Drosophila melanogaster: one gene and its partner. The gene in region 1 interacts genetically with each later gene. Each region holds a gene or a part of one and is shown on either strand. Other genes may lie near its edges.

Region 1 (7,616 bases):
CCCGATGCGAGGTCCGAAAAACCAGCGATTAATTTATAGCCGAGTGACTAATGGTGTGCGTGCCGGACTTAACCGTCGATGAGTAACTGCCAAATTAGATGACTGCGATAAAGATGGTAATCCATGGCGGGGAAGACCGAAAGACGCGACTGGAAAGTCAATTTTCGATTGTTCGAGTCGAAAACACTCGAATAAAAGAGAGTTAGGTCTTGACTTGAGGGGGTTACAAAACCCGAAAACTTCGGGCTCCGGATGATCGACAGCTCAGAGTATTGTTCAAACATATATACATATGTATATATATATATGTACGAATATGTGAATGGCTGGGGGGTGATCGGTGAAATTGTGGGGGCTTATCTCCATATCTGTGTGCGATACTCAGCCTGATTGCTTTGCTGTTTATCTTTGCATCACATGTCGCAAATGCACTAGGCACATTAAATGGCATTACTATTGCATGCTAATCGCATTGTGCAGCCTGTTTGTTTTCCACTTTCCACGATGTAACCATTTCCCCCGACATCGATAGCCATGGCTTTTCCATCGAATCCCGCAAACGAATCAATAGTTATCACTACCTTTAAAACTGGCAAACAGATTAACGCAACGCCATTACATTAATTTGGGGTCGGAAAACAAACGGAGTGGGATATTTCCGGTTTTCAAACTGATGATAGGTTGTCTAAACGCGCACAGATCTTAGCTAATTCAGTGGGCAAACCAGCCTAGTCAATCAGATTTAACAGCCATAATTGATCTGAACAAAGGAATGCTTTATATCTTCGATGTTAACAATATTCATATGTATATTATTTGCGTCATTTCATTTAACTTGTCTCCAGTGAAAACTTCAAAGGGAACTGATATTTTTTTTTTTGTTTAAACAATTAGTTATGTTATGGCAAAATAATAGGGATTTAATTGCAGGCAAAAAAGTTTAATACAATCAAGAATTGCAAATTAATTAATGCATTGCAATGCCAAGCGAATAGATCGACAAAAAATAAAACAATTAATTAAACAACTAGCAAGCAGATAATCCAACAGAATTTTAATACGCACAGCGTACGGTTGCCGCTTATTTTCTACGCTTTTTTTTTTGGTAACTTTTTTAGGCCAGTTATGACTGACTCATCCCGCAAAGTTCGGCTTTGGCAATGGAAATTTTTCACCTGAACTTGGGCTGTTAAGCACTTTGCATTGTCGTTCATCTGGGCAAGCCGAGGGTTAAAAAAATCAGGTAAGGCGTGTATTAAAACGACCTCCGTGATATGTCAAGCGAGCAAATATGTATGTACATATGTACATACATAAATGTCATTTTTCTACAAGCAGCTAAAATCAGTCTAAAATCTGGAAAACTTGCGCATAGAACACTTACACTTATGTATGTCCCGTGTTTATAATAGACTCTTTTGTATTCCTTTTTTTTTTGTACAAGTCACTAATTACTCTGCTCGGGGTTTTTTGTTTTTTTTTTTTTTGGAGCAAAGGGGAATCAGCAGACAGAGACAGCATCTGAAATGGAGAAAGAATAAGTGCTTTTTTCTTTGCTGTGAATTGCAAGCTATGAAAAATATATGTATGTACGTATATTTTTATTTGTGAGTACTAACAGCCGGCGGCGAATGCGTAAATGTCGTATAATTTAGTGCCACAAAGCAAAACTTTTAATATCTAAACCGGAAAGACAGCCGGCAAAAGTTCGTTGGTGTGCACATGCTCTATGTATGAGAAAATGTCTGCGTCTAAAGGCGTTTTTGTTTAACTCCCTTTTGGGGGAATGTCACAAATGGTATCTGATTTTTTAAGTTTTAAGGGGTCATTGTCGTAAAAGAATATCATATATGTATGAATATTTAAAATGCACTTAATCATTCGAGTCTTGCAGCTAAAAAGCGGCTATCCTTGCCACTCTCTTATTCACATTTCAACATAAGAATCATAATGTTGTTTTCATTTTGTATTTTTACTTTAAGGCAACCATTTTAACAGTTTTGGCTTTAAATATTTTAGTGTATAAAGAGAAGATTTTGAAGGTTAAGTCGTCGCCTAAATGTTATTAAGCTTCCAAGAGTATTGAAATACCTCGTTGACAGAACTTAGATCCACAATTTGGCCAAGTTGGGGACACAAAAAGCACGTGAAAGGTGCAGGTACACAAATTAACAAATCGGCAGAATTATAAAGCTAACCCCGGAGCATTATCCGTAATTGTAGCCATGTCCACCGTAGGTCAGTCTACGCAAAAAACACAACCTTTTTGTTAGACGGGTCAAAAAGCTGGCTGCAAACAGCAGTCAAGCCATCAGTAGGAACATCAATAATCATTAGACTTGGATTCGTTGGCATTTGCCAAGTGATGGTGGCGGGGAGGGGGGTGTGCAAATGGAACGGAGTAGGGTGGGGGGGAAATCGTATTTATTTTTAATTAAAGTGCAACTGCCGACCGACTGCGGCTGGCTTTGCTCAATTTACGGGGTTTGCTCTCAAATAGTTCATGACGATGCCAGACCAGAAAACCAGAAAAATGCCGCCAGTTTGTCATCGCCTCTCGAACTCGACAATTTTGTACCGCAGTCAAGCGCAAAAATTCCTCGAAAAACCATAGACCAAGGTGTTTATGAGTTTATTAATACTGTGTAATTATTATTTGTGATATATGTGTGGGAAATTGGTAATAGATCAAACATGAAAGTAATGGTATCTGTTTTTCTGTATTAAAATAACATATCTGATAATTTCCTAAAGGATGTTAATGTTAATTTAATAGGTATTCCAAAACTAAGAGTGAACTGGCAAAATGTAAAATTAGTTGGTATTTCCTTTTGAATAAGCTTGACCTTTAACTTACTTCATAGCCTATGACAACTCATATATTATAAATATAAATAATAATAAATGAGTGCTAATAATAATTTTTAATCAAAAATTCTCACAAGCTAACCTTGTAATGATGGTACGCCTAACTGATACCCATTATGTTACCATGGCCAGGCATAAATTCCTGTTACTGGCACCGCATCATCATCATACTGGCATTCGGTCATATTAAAATAATATCACCTATCTATAGGGCTGCGGCTCTTTTGACACGCACACGTGCTGCTCAGCAGACCAAGTGAACTTATCAATGAACACCCGCCACACCCACACGGTGGCCCAAGCACCTGACCCACCCATGCCCAGTGGCCAGCACCACCCGAACTCGCAGAAGCCAATGAATGGCCGGCAGACCAAGAAACACCCACTAACATCTCGGGAGATTCTTCGTCTGCCGAGTTCAAGAACAACACACAAGTGGCCGTAATGAAATGTGAATAGCCTTGGCAAACATGAGTCCGGAAAGCCAACTTATGATGGCTTCTGAATAGCCAACCGCATAGTACACGGCTAAGAGCGGGGACCAAAAAAGGACCTGCTCTTTGCTCGCTCGTTGGCTTTCTCTTTCGCAGCCTCGGCTCGGAAAAAGGATGCCGACAAGCAACAATTTTCATTGATAAAAACACCAGCTGCTGGGTCCTGAAACTCAGTCGTACGCGAGTCCTCAGTCAGTCAGTTTCGAGCTCTGGGATGCAACGGATGCGGATGCCTTAAATCCCCGAGCCGTTTGGCGGTGTTATTGAAAATTGCGTATTCGCCGCGTATTACCAAGTAATAGCTTGTCCAAAGCCACTACGCTGTCAAAGGACGGGCTTAAAACGCTACTTGCATTTTTACGTACTATACATAGATAAATTTTCCGGGTAATCGGCGGAAATTGAGTTAAAGTTTTGTGTCCGGTTGGCGCCAGTTGGCAATTGGTGCTGGCCAACTTTCGGACCCGAACGATGACAAACTGAAAAGTAAACTTTGTAAAGACTCAGCACCTTACAAACAAATTCAAGTGTTTCGCGAAAAAAAATAAAAAATTTTGAATTGAAGAGGACACAGTTCGGTGAAAAAAAAATATTTGCAATGCACAATGGAAAATCAGCAAAGTGACCTCCAAGTTTACGAAAACAGAAACTAACTCAATAACCATCCCTGCAGGTGAGCAGAGGCAACATTTTTTCTTTAAAACATTTTTTACCATATTTCCGTAAACGGTTTGCGTCCTTTGGCAAATTTATGGTTGTCTTGGAATAAAATGAACTTTATTTACTTGGCAACAAAACGAGTGTTTATTCTTGTCGCATAGGGAATCAAGCAGCCAACATAAGGACTATATTTTGTTTAATTCGATTTAATGTGAGTTGCAGAATTAAATTTCTTTTTAATTCAACACGCATCTGTACACCATTTGTAAAATTACAAGCTAAAGCTCAGCAAACACTAAATTTTAATCAGTGAAACGAACTGTATTCTGTCAATTTTAATATCAAAAGCATATACATTGCTCTTAAAAATATTAAACTGCGTTAGTAACGTAAACAGAAAATGCTATGAAATTTGTTATAATCAAAATTCACTTGAAAGAGATTTCAACAAAATTACCAATCTCGTGTTCTAAGGAATTAATATAATAATTATAATAATATCATAGCTTGTTCCCTGTCACCTAATATATACCATTTAAATAAAAGTAATGCCTAGGTAATTGTTTGTGAGCGATAAGCGCAGATTTGTCTGCATAATTATGTGTTAATTTGATTGAGGTCTACTGAAGAGGGCCTTATTTTTATAAGCCAAAAGAACAAATTCAAACAAAACACTTGAGGGCGGCCTTAGCTGGCAATAAGCGGCTTTTGCCTAATGGAAAATAAGTGGAATGCCTAGGAATTATTGGCCAAGTGGACGGGCTGCTCTCTTTCTGGCAATCCTGAGTCCTTTCGACTGATTCGTTTTTGGCTCCTTTGGCCCCATCTCCGCACGCTTTGTTCGGCTTGACACACCTGAGTGGCGATGTTCCACACAGGCACTTTCCCAAACAAATGGAACCCGGCATCTCGCATTTGGTTGCCCGAACGTAAGTCCCATGAAGTGGTCTTCTCCAGTGGACAGCCAGTCAGCCGCATTTCTTGGGGGCGCTCTTCTCGAGCGCTTGGCCTCTGAGATGGCCTCTTTGGATGTCTTGGAGATATGCAGCTCATCCTGGCCACCCACTTCGCCGAGCCATTCCATTTCATTTCCCTGGCCAACATACCCGTATGAAACGATGAGTGCTCTTCACAGTTTTTGCCTACATTCCGGCCACTGCACCGACTGATGGTTGATGGAGACCCATTCTCCGGTTAGTGTTCGTCTTGGTCGTCTTGGTCTGGGTCTCGGTCCTGGTCACAATGGGAATTCGCAGCTTAAAGGCGCCGTGGCTTTATTCAGGCCAGATTGGATACTTGACATGTTCTAATGCGGCGCAGATCTCAGTTTCTGCAACGTGCTCTCCCTATCTCAGTTACATGAATTAGCATTCATCGCCACTGCACTGAGCAAAAAATAGGACCACAAATCGCTCTAACTGCTGTAAATTGATATCCATTCAATTATTTTATTTAAGTATTATAACACATTGATAGAACATTAACATGTCATATATTTTTGAACACAATTCAGCATTACACTTTAATAAAGTCGAATTTGAATTTATCCAACTGACGCGTTGGGTGATATCATAAATTCAATTTCGAGAATGACAGGTCATTAAAATGTTGTCACCTACACTGTCAAATATTTAAGTCAAAATATTAAGTTATAAAATATCAAAAAGCTTTGATAGCTTTAGAGTATGATTTACGTTTAAAAGGATTGTACACGAATACAATTTTGTTTTTTTAAGCAATCAGCGGCGTGTTTCTGTTTTGCCATCATAAATCGCAGAGTTTCATAATCCCTCTAAATTAAAATGTCCTTTGGGATTTTTCTGAAATTTTTTTCAAACGCTTCCCCCTTTTTGTTTCCTGCATGTTTAGGCCGTTAAGAGCCTGTTGATGATGGCGGCATGGTAGAACTTTCTGTTTTGTCACAGCCTTGGGCTGCTGGCTTTACATTTGGTGGAAAAACGAGACCAGCCGAGCACGTGCGGTCCGCGGGGTTGGGGGGGGTTGTGGAAGCTAAGGACGTGGCAGGACGAAAGCGCTGAGTGCAGATGAGGACTGCAATAAACTGCCATACATAAGTGAAAATTGTGAAATGAAAACTTGCGCGAGCATAAATCAATACACCCAAGGGGGGTCATGGGCTCCCATGGCAGGCAACAAAAAAATATATATGTATATATATCAGCTGGGAAATGTGCTCCCTACTCAGGTTTAGCGACTTGTATTTCATGTTCCCAAATCAGCTGGTGTTATCCTTTGATTGCCGGGCACACGACAAAAGTGGTGGACCAGGACACATGTGATGATTGCTTGCGTGGGTCGCAGGAATGAGCCAACTCAGATTGGTAATATTGTGTATGAACGTGATTTCGTGACTTTGCAATGTTTCTATTTAACAAAAACTCTTGTTAAAGAAATACACACAAAACATCACTTATAACCCTTTTTGGATATCTATGAGGATTTAAGGTTTGTAAACTAAGGCAATGGTATACCTTAAAAAGTCTATAGTAAATCGCATATATTACATCAATTTTAACGTTCATGCTGATCTTCCAGTTCCAAAATATATATTTTGAAATAGCTTACATTTAATTAAGTGCACTTGCTATAAAAGTTTTGAGCTTGCCTGAAGTTTATTACATAAAAAATTCGCAGAAAGGCGGCTAAAGAATGAAACTAATTTAAGCCCAAATGATAAACTATTTGCCAAGCATGTTTCGTTTGAATTATGCTCCCGTTGCTCTGCCTACCAAAAATGGCAAAAACTCGCAATATGATTATTGTGGCAGCTTCTTCCGGTGAATTAAAAATACAAAAAACCAGCTCAAATTGAAACTTAATTTTAATAAATTGTTTTCATGCTCTTTTTCGCTGCCGTTGTAGCGTTTTCCCGCCCATTTCACCCGAGTGGCTGGATAATTGTATCCGCGCAATCATCCCGCGGCTTCCATTGCCGCAGGATAAAAACCAAACTGCAACGAACAGAACAGAACTGAGCACTTTAAGCCATTTCCACTCGTAATTAAATTTTGAGAGCGGATGAAATTGTGGCGGCTAAATAAAAGGAACAAAATGCATCTGTGCATACAGCAAAAAAAAAACAGCAAAAATAAATAACAAAATGCAGAAGAGCAAAAAATCGCGCATATCCGCTTTGTAAAAATACGAGTCTAAGTGATGGGTTCCGTTTTTGTTTAGTAGTGCTCACTAGTGAACGGCCTTGTCGCATTTGGGGCTGATAGTGGATGTAGTGTGGGGTGTATTGTGGTGTGCATGGGGGTGTTTGAATCGCAGAAGTCGGCCCAGCCCGTTGGCCGTCAAGAGGACCTGGCCTAATCGAATGAATGTAGAATGGGCACAAACAAGTCACGCCTGCCTGCGCATTTCATCAAAGAACGGCGAACAAGAGGCTAACAGCTCTTCGTTTCTCTCTCTCTTTCTCTGCTCAGCTGGGTCCTTTGAAGATCCTGAATGACACTCAATTGGCCTAATCGGTTTCTGAAAAGCATAGTATGAATTTCATACGGTACGCTAATTTCGAATATAACAAAAAGCAAAAACGCTTTTGATATCTAAATTGTATTTGCCATTGAA
Region 2 (9,682 bases), on another chromosome or scaffold:
GATCCCGATGCCGAATCGTCCAGCTGTCAGGACAGCGGTTCGTCCTTCCCCATCCTGTCCAGCAAATGTCAACTGGCAACGGCTGCGCCTGTCACGCGGTCATCGATACTCTCCTCGGGAGCGGGGGCGTCGGTTGTCGGCCCAATTGCACTCACAGATGTCTCATGCACTCCAGTTCCAAAACTCTACAGTTCCTACTAAGTCATATCATAGAAACCATACAGTCCACGCCAGTTGTCTATATCACTGGGGAAGTGTTATTTACAAGTTAAAGGATCCTCTCAGTAAACCTAGTAAATAAAAAAATTGATAAGAAATTAGGAAGAGTGTTTTCACATCCTATATTGAAGAAGAATTTGGCTTAAAAACCGACTGTTAAGCGATGATTGATTGATATAAACACAGATTTTAGCCACTTAAATTCAATTGTTCTTATTAAATCTTAACTTTTGAATCGTTTCTTAATACAAATTTATAATTAGAGGTAACTTATGTTCAAATACCATTGATAAGTTTCATCAGGCATTCAATTACAACAAACTGATAAGTTCAAGGATATGACTTTCGATGGAATTAAAAGTTAAAGGTGTGGAACATTTTTATAATTCACGGCACTTAAGATTGCATTTTTTATTTTCTTAAATAAAGAATAAAGGAGTACGTTCCTTTTGTAAGGCTCTAAGCCCAGGACTTGTTTATAATTTTGTTACTTTTTGTTTATTTTTGTTTATTTTTGTATTTCTGTATCAAAGTTAAGCGCACTTAATGACAACTAATTGTTAATCATCTCTGATTGAGCAGGCACACCTCCCCCACTCCCCGCCTCCAGTTGAACCAAGTTGGTTAGCTCATTTTAGCCGGCATGGTAGCTAATATGACCGATTGGCATTAACATGTTGAATGACTTGAGTGGCAGCATAAAAGCAAAGCGCAGCCCAAACCAGGAGAAGCCCCATCGGTGCAGCCCGAAAAGTATTTCATTGATTTTAGAAGCCTCGCCAATTCACAACGGACTACAGAGCGGCGAAGGCAAAAGAAATGGAATGAAATGAATTGAATTGAAATGAAATGAAATGTGCTCGAACACGAAATGCAGAATGAAAATGAGTGAAATTTGCCTCTCAAGTTGCTGGTGGCAACATGGGAAACGTACGCAGGGATGGGCAGCATCATGTCCTGGCATTGTTAGTCAATTGAAATGCGCAAAACAAACACCAGCTAGCAATGAGCGTTCTGGCAAACAAATCCACGTGCGATGATAAGGTGGTTGGTGGATGGGCTGGTGTGATAACAGGTCCCTCTAAGAGGGGGTGCTCGAATATGTTTACCCTGCGGCTTAATTTGTAGCAAACTCTTGAATTCTTGAATTGCGGTCAATCGAGAGATGGGAAGCAGTTTGATCAGCTGACACCTGAACGCACCACCTGAGTGGAATCTCTGGCTAATTGTTATTGATACCACCGGATTGCCTGGCTACCAGCTCGCAGCTAGCAGCTAGCAGCTCAAGGATCGCATCCTAATCCATTCTGACAATCGGCAGCAGAGACAGGCTCATGTCCTTAGCCAAGTTGTTGACATGAAACTGATACTTGAAGCGAAGTAAAAAAAAAAAGAAATATAAAAATTGAAAACTGGTTCGAATCTGCTCAGACTGTGGATCTGATTTTAACACACACGACGCTGGCTGGGCTTGACCTGAAATTCCCATCGATAAGGTAAGGTGATATGGGGGATATAGCTCGATACGTATGCGATCACTGCAAGCCTTTGCACTCAACTGATTTTGCCAATTGGCGGTGAATTCGATTTCGGGCGTGTGAACCAGGTGATCGATCCGAATTGGGATCTCTTCATAGCATTATATCTATAATATATCTTAGCTAAATATAGTCGAGTTGGGCTTAACACATCTATTTCATAATTTCCATTTGCTTTTCCATCTGGCCTGCGATTTATTCCTTGCTTTTTCTGCTGCGACCACAAATCGAACTATCAAATAACATTCAAACTATTCACGATTGTCGGCCCGGCGACAAGAGCATCGATCGATTGGCAGTCGTCATTGGCCGGGCTACAATTGAGAATCAGCGCCGGAGATAGAGATACAAAGATACACGCAACAGAAGCAGATACACACGGCCAGATACGCAGATACAAGCTACAGAAGCAGTCAGGGGGTTGCCGGCCGACTTGGCCGATGGACTGCCTCACTTAACCACAAAACAATGGAGCGAAGAGGAAGCAGAATGCCGACGAAGACGATCAATGGTTGGCAAGTCCGTAGCAACTGTCCCTCCCTCATCAGAGACCCTGCCAGAAAATTCCCATTTTAATATGTGAATTACTTTATTTTCAATACTTCTTGTATCATATTTATATCATACCAATTACATTGTTTATTAATAATCCCTATAGTACTTTTTGTTTATTATGTAATAAAATTACAATACCTTTATTTTAAGAAAGTAAATAATATGTTATATATCGAAAATATTCACTAATCACAAGCATATCAAATAGTCTCAAGTGATTTGATGTCCTCTTAAGAATTTAGCGACAATCTGCGGTTGTGCATCTATAGATTTTAAGGAAAAGGAACTTCATATCTTCTTTTCAACAAATAAAGTGAGGATACTTGTTTGTGAATTGAAAACAACGTTATTTGAACGGCCATCGATTTTGAAGTGTAACATTCTAGAGCACTAGAACTGCTTGCTAGCGATTATTTCTCGAAGTGTACTCTTTTTTCTCCCCGCCTCGTTGGTATCTGGTGTCGAGCTGTAAGATATTGGGTGACAAATAAAAACTACTGAAAACTGCTGCCGATGTAGCTGGCCACGTATGAATGGGCCTGAAACTCGGACTGGGCGGGATCGGCAGCGGAGGAGTCGGATATGGAGGCGAAGGCGAAGGCGGAGGAGGGTGACTTTGGATTTGGATGAGGATGTGGACGTGGAAGCAGCAGAGGGGTGGGTAGTAGCCGCAAAAGCCGGCAGACGGAGCGCATTGGTTGGCCAACAACGATGACGGCAGCGTTGTTGTGGTGGTGGATGGATGGAATCTCAGGAGTGGGCATGGGATATAGTGCGGGATGGCTTGGTGTGGGTATGGTATGGTATGGGTTTGGTATTGGAGGAGGGGTGCTTTCAGCAAGGGTCTCGAGTGTGTAGTGCTGCGTACTTGTGTCATTATAGCCGACCAAAGTGTGAGTGCGAGCGAGATTGTTGTTGCCGTTGTCTTTTGCGCCCTTTTGTCGCTTGTTTATAATTAAGTGAGTATGTTTTTTGCGCCCTGCTGCTTCCTCTGTAGTTGTCGGTTGTCGCTTTGCTGCCGCTCTGCCAATCCGATATATCAGTCGATTTTGGGCCGAGGTGGCTCGAACCGAACTGCAACTGACAATTAGTCGCCGTCTTATGCTCCTCGCCAAAAGTCGCTTCTTGCCCCGCACTCGAAAAATCGAAAACTGAAAACGCATAAAATTCAAATCGGAAAACAACGATCGTGTGTTACTACTTAAAACCGAGTCTTCGAAAAAAAAGTTACAAACATATTTTGCAAGAAAACGTTGAAATTCTATTGGTGATCTTGGTATCATGCCATTTGTGGATCTATTCAGAAGGTGAAAACGATTAAGAGTGCATATGTGAATAAAGAACGGAATAAACAATATTAAATCTGCAATAAAAAAGAAGAAAGAAAAAATGGAATACAACTAATGTATTTGAAATAAAACCTAATAACTGCAAATAGCTAATTAAAATGTCCTAACAATGTTTTGGCTAAGATCGAAAAAATCAATTCACTAAGAAGATTTTATCAATTTAACAATATCATAGCTTTGATCTCATTAAAAAGAAAAACAAAAATTTACTTTGATTTGCATGCATAAATTAGTTAAATAGCAATTTTAACGTTTTGTTTCTTTCAAAATGAAAGTTATTGTAATTTTAGTATAATTTTTTAGTCCTAACAATAATGAAACAATCGAATTGAAATCCATCTTCGTCATAAGAGCGATCTATAATTCGATATCTCTTTTAAATTTAGAGGTGAAGAATCTGTCATATTGTGTATCTAATTTCTGATTAGCTGTCGAACTTTATTTAAAACTGAATTTATTAACACTTTATTGAAAATATATGAAGATTAGATTTGATATTGGTATTTGATTGAATAAATAATAAATTGAATAATAGATTTGAATAAATGAATAGAAAGTGAATCTTAATTAGAATTTACCAATAATGTTCCGTCATCGCCTTGCAGTTGGAAATTAACGCATCAAGATGAAGCGTAGGAAAAGCAGGAACAAATGCGCGACTGCTGAGCCCAAACGTTCCAGAAGTGGAGTCATGTCATGGGATTGTTATATAAGGGTTCCAAACTCCTGAACACAATTCTGGGTGAGTGAAATCGGAAGCACCATTGCACAGATATGCAGATACAGCATATTGTATGGCGATACACGGATGGAAAGTCGCGAGTCGAGAGAGCAAAGCAAATGGCGGTCTCTCGATTTGTGTATTTGTGTGTGTCTGTGTGTGTCTCGAGGGGCGGAGCTAGTGCGCACAGTGGTTGTCATGGGAGCAAAAATGTATCCATGAGATACGCGCTGCTGGCGAGCATCTCTGGCGTACTTCCAGTGATTTTCATGCTGTTCTTTTTTTTTTTTTTTTGGCTGCGCAGATTCCCTGGAAGATCAAGAGGGTGGAGCTATGTACATATCGTGCGATGTCTCAAACGGCGGTCCTGTGGAACCAGAGACGGGCTATGTGCCCAACAATCCCCTGTTCGGCCTGGCGCTGGACAGCCCTCAGGTGAGTCCTGGAATCCTTTTTCGATTTCGCCTCAATATCTCCGGAAATCTTCGAGCGTTCGGTTGTGCTTGTTTCGTGGAAAGAACTTAGCTGAAATCTGTGATATACCTGAACTATTTAAATTTTATAACCAGGAAATAGAACCCAATACCGAAATTGTGGTTATTTTAATTTGCTATATCGGTAACTGAAAAATCAGACAGTTTTGTACTAAGAAGTTTATCATTTTCGTTTTTAAAGTAATCTATTACATTTTTAACCCATACGATTTTATCTATTGGGAAGTTTAATAGCTTAGAAATTCCTTCCATATGTAATACAATTAAACTCTCCTCAGAAGTCAGTATTAGAATGTAAAAATAGTTAAAATTTACTAAATGTTTCCACTAACTAACTAATTATTTTGTCTTAGTTACGTATTAGTACTAACTGAATGTATTTCATAACCGGTCTCAATCTCCATTTCCGTTTTCGCTCGTGCAGCAAGAGTGCGCCGCTTCCTGCGTCGGCTGCCTATCCTGCCAGGGCAGCACCGCCCTGCCCATCTCCTCGCTCACCAGCAGCGACTTCGACTGCGGCGGCTGTTTCGATCCCACGATTGGAGTGGGCGTGGGCATCGGTGGCGGCCACATCCAGATCAGCACGACACCACCGGCGAGCAGCGGCAACGGGAGCAGCAACAACGGTGCCGGAGGAGGCTCCTCGGGTAATCACGGCTACTGGAGCACCGACGAGATGGCTTCCACATTTCCCGGCCTACCGCCGCTGGACATCGATCCGCTGCCCAGCCTGTTCCCATTCTCGCCCTGCGGCGCTTCCTACAACTTTGCCGCCGGCAATCCGCACCAGGCCGCCTCACTCTCCTACACAGTGCATCCGCACCAGATGCTCATTTCGCCGAACTCCCACAATCATGGCCAGATGCACTCGCAGCACCAGCAGCACCAGCACCAGCAATCCCAAGTCCAGGCATCGCACGTAGGCAACTCTCTCCTCCAAAGCAGTGGTGGCAACAATATCGGCAGTAATGGTAGTGCCGGAGGAGTGGCCAACGCTGCCAGTTGCTACTATGAAACCAGTGCTGGAACGGCCGCACCACCTCCTCCTCCGGCGGCAGCCATGTATCCCAGCATGAGCGTGAACGTCAGCATGAACATGACCATGCACCATGGCTACGGTGCCGGTGATGCAGGCGGCGTGCCAATGCAGTGCTCCCAGATGAACTGGACGCCACCCAGTAACTCCACCTCGGCGGCAGCAGCAGCAGCGGCGGTAAATGTGCTATACCCACCGCTGCTGAGTCCCGGTCACTATCCTGCCTCGGCCACATATTCCTTTACAGCGGATTTTCGGGCACCGGCTCCCACGGGTCTGGGTGCCCTGCCACCGCTGACGGTGGGCGAAAAGGAGTCGCCATCGCCGCCGGCCAACTCCTCTTTGGCTGGCTACTATCCCACGGGGGTGGGCAATCAGGGATACACACCGCCCCACAAAAGTCCCACCAGCTATCAGGCAGCCGCCCTGGGCTTAAGTCTATCCGCCTTCGAGGACGAGGAGGATAGCAACGAGGATCTGGACGGCGATGAGGGCAGCAGTGGCGGCGAGATGAAACCCAATCTATGCCGGTTGTGCGGAAAGACATATGCCCGGCCCAGCACGCTCAAGACCCATCTGCGGACCCATTCCGGCGAAAGACCCTATCGATGCCCCGACTGCAACAAGAGCTTCTCGCAGGCAGCCAACCTGACGGCTCACGTACGCACACACACCGGCCAGAAGCCGTTCCGCTGCCCCATCTGCGACCGGAGATTCTCGCAGAGTTCCAGTGTCACCACGCACATGCGCACCCACTCCGGCGAGCGGCCGTACCGCTGCTCCTCGTGCAAGAAGTCCTTCTCGGACAGCAGCACCCTCACCAAGCACCTGCGAATCCACAGTGGCGAGAAGCCCTACCAGTGCAAGCTCTGCCTGCTCAGGTGAGTCCGGGATGGGGGATTTACTTACACCGTCCTTCCTCATTCCTAAACGAACGAAAATGGTTTTGCTTTTACTTTTACGTAAACCCTTAAAGCTTTAAAGATAGTTTAATAATTTCTATCGTTTCAATATAAAACTAACAACTTGAACAAAACTGAGACTGTTGCAAGCTTAAAAAAAAGGAAAACCAAAGATAATATGCATCATTCATTTTCATTCATGCATTTTCGTAAGATTTTCAACTTCAACTAAAGAACTGAAATTAAATGAAATAATAATTGTTTATTCAAATGTAATGCTAAAGATGAAAATTACCCCTTAAAAAAGGCTTAGGCCCCCAAAGAGCAGTCCTGGAACGTTATACATCGAGTTAATTGCTTTTTTGGTGTCCACAGATTTTCGCAGTCGGGGAACTTGAATCGGCACATGCGCGTCCACGGCAACAACAACAGCAGCAATGGCAGCAATGGGGCAACCGGAGTTGGTGGAGAGTCCTCCACCGGCAGCGGAGTTGGTGGTGGCAACAGCCTGCTCACATGACAAAAGCCAAGGAGTGCAGGAGGTTTCCAGCATTACCACCCCCCGCACACCCACCACATGCACCACCAGCACCACGCCCATCACCATCACCACGCCCACATGGGTAACTACGACTACGGGAACTACAGCATCGGCGATTATACTCCACCCGGAGCCACACAAAACTATTCAGGGTATTATTTCTGCGCACTCAACAAGGCGCCCAAGTTCGAACGATTCTACTAGGGACTAAAATCTGGAGGATCCCATCTGGATAAGAAACCTTAAAGGAGGACCACTCAGTGAATTATACGGGGATAGTCACTCTATCGCTGATAAATACAATAATGTATATGCCATACTCAACATTGCTGTAGAAAAATAATTTGGGTTCGTGTTAAATTGAAATCCTAATTGAACATAACGATGTAATAATACTCATAACCCAAATCCGCATCCAAATGCAGTTAAAAATGCTCAAACAATACAAATCTGAGGAATCGCGGAGAATCGAACAAAAGTAGGCCTAAGAGCTGCACTGTACATACTTATACATACTATATTTATTATATTCGCTTAGCCTAATATGCATTGAATCCAAGTTAGTTCATCCATTAAATAAGGTAGTTCAAAACACGCATAAATCTATTCCAAATTAGCCAACGAAATAGGATTTAAGACGGATATGAGTATGAATCATAAGACCAAACAACACAGCAGCACCCAAAACGAGAATATTTAAATTGGAATTGCCAAGGCATTAAACCCATAAACACCTGTATACGAATATAGAGTCCTAAGCTTAAACTAGACGTAGATGTAAGACAGGTGCTTTGATCTAAGCCAATTTTGGAGTATATAAAGAAAATAATAAATATACGAAAATTAAATACAGTAACTAATTGATTTCAACAATTGAAATATTATATAATTTAGGTAAGGAATTCAAAAGGCTTGACATTTAAACAATATTATCAACTAGGTAAACGGCTTCTGTGTCGCCTCCGCAGACCAGACGACTTCCATGCACATCGAAGGAGTTGATGGACTTGCGAACATTACTCAGCACTCCCTCCACATCGACCAGGGAGCGAACACGATCGCCAGACAACCAGGGGCTGTGTCCGTCTTTGTTATAGTCGCACCCGAGAACTTTGTTCTCTGACCACATCCACACCTCGCCACCTTCTGCGGCGGTGAACAGTTTGCTGGGATCCTTTTGATGGAAGCCTATCTCGTTGATGGGACTTTTGTGAGCGCTGAGATAGGAGGCGGGATAACTGAGGTTTCGCATATCCCAGACGGTTATGGAACCCTCTTCGCTGCCGCAAAGTAAAATATGTTGCTGCATCGGATGCTTGGCAAGGGACGAGACAAAGTTCGACTTGTCATCCTGGGAGGCCACCATAAAGGTGGTCTTCGGCTGCGCTTCAGTGGCCACTCGGGCGTCCAGCATTCGGATAACACCCATCCTATTGGCAGTCACCAGTTCCTGCTGGCTGATATAGCAAATGGAAAACAGCGCCATGCTGTCCGCCTCAATCTGTCGCTTCACCTGGCGCACATTTTCCACGGAGACGATGCTTACACACCCATCCTCGCCGGCGGTGGCGATATCCGTGCCGTAAACAGAAAGGTCGGTGCAAGGAGCGGGCTCCTGGCTACGTTGGAAGCAGTGCAGACGTCCCGATCGGGACGTACGTTGCATCTGATCCTCCTCCACGGCTCGATGGACGTTAAACACGCTGAGATGACCTTGTTTGGTATTAAAATAGACATTTATTTAGCTGAGTTCATGATTGCTGGAACTTGTAACTGACCATCGGCACAGCTCACAGCCAGCGTGTCCTTGTCGACGAACTCCATGGCGGTCACATCGTCCTCCATTCTCACCTTGTCCATGCAGCGAGGTATCTGGTCCACTTCCGAATCCGTGGCGGTGACATATTGGTTCGATTGTAGCCGCCAGAGGCGCACGAAGTTCTGGTCCATGTCCCAGCTTCCAGTAACGAACCGTTCGCTCTGCTGCAGTTCCTCCGGAAGCCAGCGCACTTGGGACACCTTCTCGGATATGTAGTGCGTGGAAACGTTTGCAATGGACATCTTTTCGTTGGATTTAGCAGAGGATTCGCGATGTAAACAAAATAATGCGGCTTTCGAGTTAAGTGTGACCAGAGCAAGAAGATCGCAACATATCTTAGCGGGAAACTTAATCTGGTATCTATAAATTGGGCAGGGCTGGAAACAAAAGCAGAAAAATTGTTATGTGGATCTATATTATGGTACTTAATGAGCTTATCTCAAAAACGATTGGTAATTCTATTATGAAATTTTCCTGAAATATCCTTTAAGGTGGTCAAGCTTGCACA

The links. Genes that interact genetically often act in the same process or in processes that back each other up.
Region 2: of Rh7 (region 1) and gl, changing one enhances a phenotype caused by changing the other (phenotypic enhancement), as found in Drosophila melanogaster (one study listed by BioGRID).

Annotation. Positions count from the first base shown.
Region 1 is NT_037436.4:12,171,438-12,179,053, reverse strand, and holds the start of Rh7 (rhodopsin 7), read left to right. Parts: upstream 1-3,571; 5' UTR 3,572-4,035; intron 4,036-7,616.
Region 2 is NT_033777.3:18,366,454-18,376,135, reverse strand, and holds gl (glass), read left to right. Parts: upstream 1-3,397; 5' UTR 3,398-3,619; intron 3,620-4,266; 5' UTR 4,267-4,357; coding exon 4,358-4,403; intron 4,404-4,686; coding exon 4,687-4,817; intron 4,818-5,300; coding exon 5,301-6,793; coding exon of another isoform or gene 6,794-6,797; exon of another isoform or gene 6,798-7,189; coding exon 7,190-7,334; coding exon of another isoform or gene 7,335-7,559; 3' UTR 7,560-8,209; downstream 8,210-9,682. Other genes in the region: Nup43 (nucleoporin 43kD), read right to left, coding at 8,275-9,068, 9,134-9,416. UniProt on the Drosophila melanogaster protein: Transcription factor required for gene expression specific to photoreceptor cells.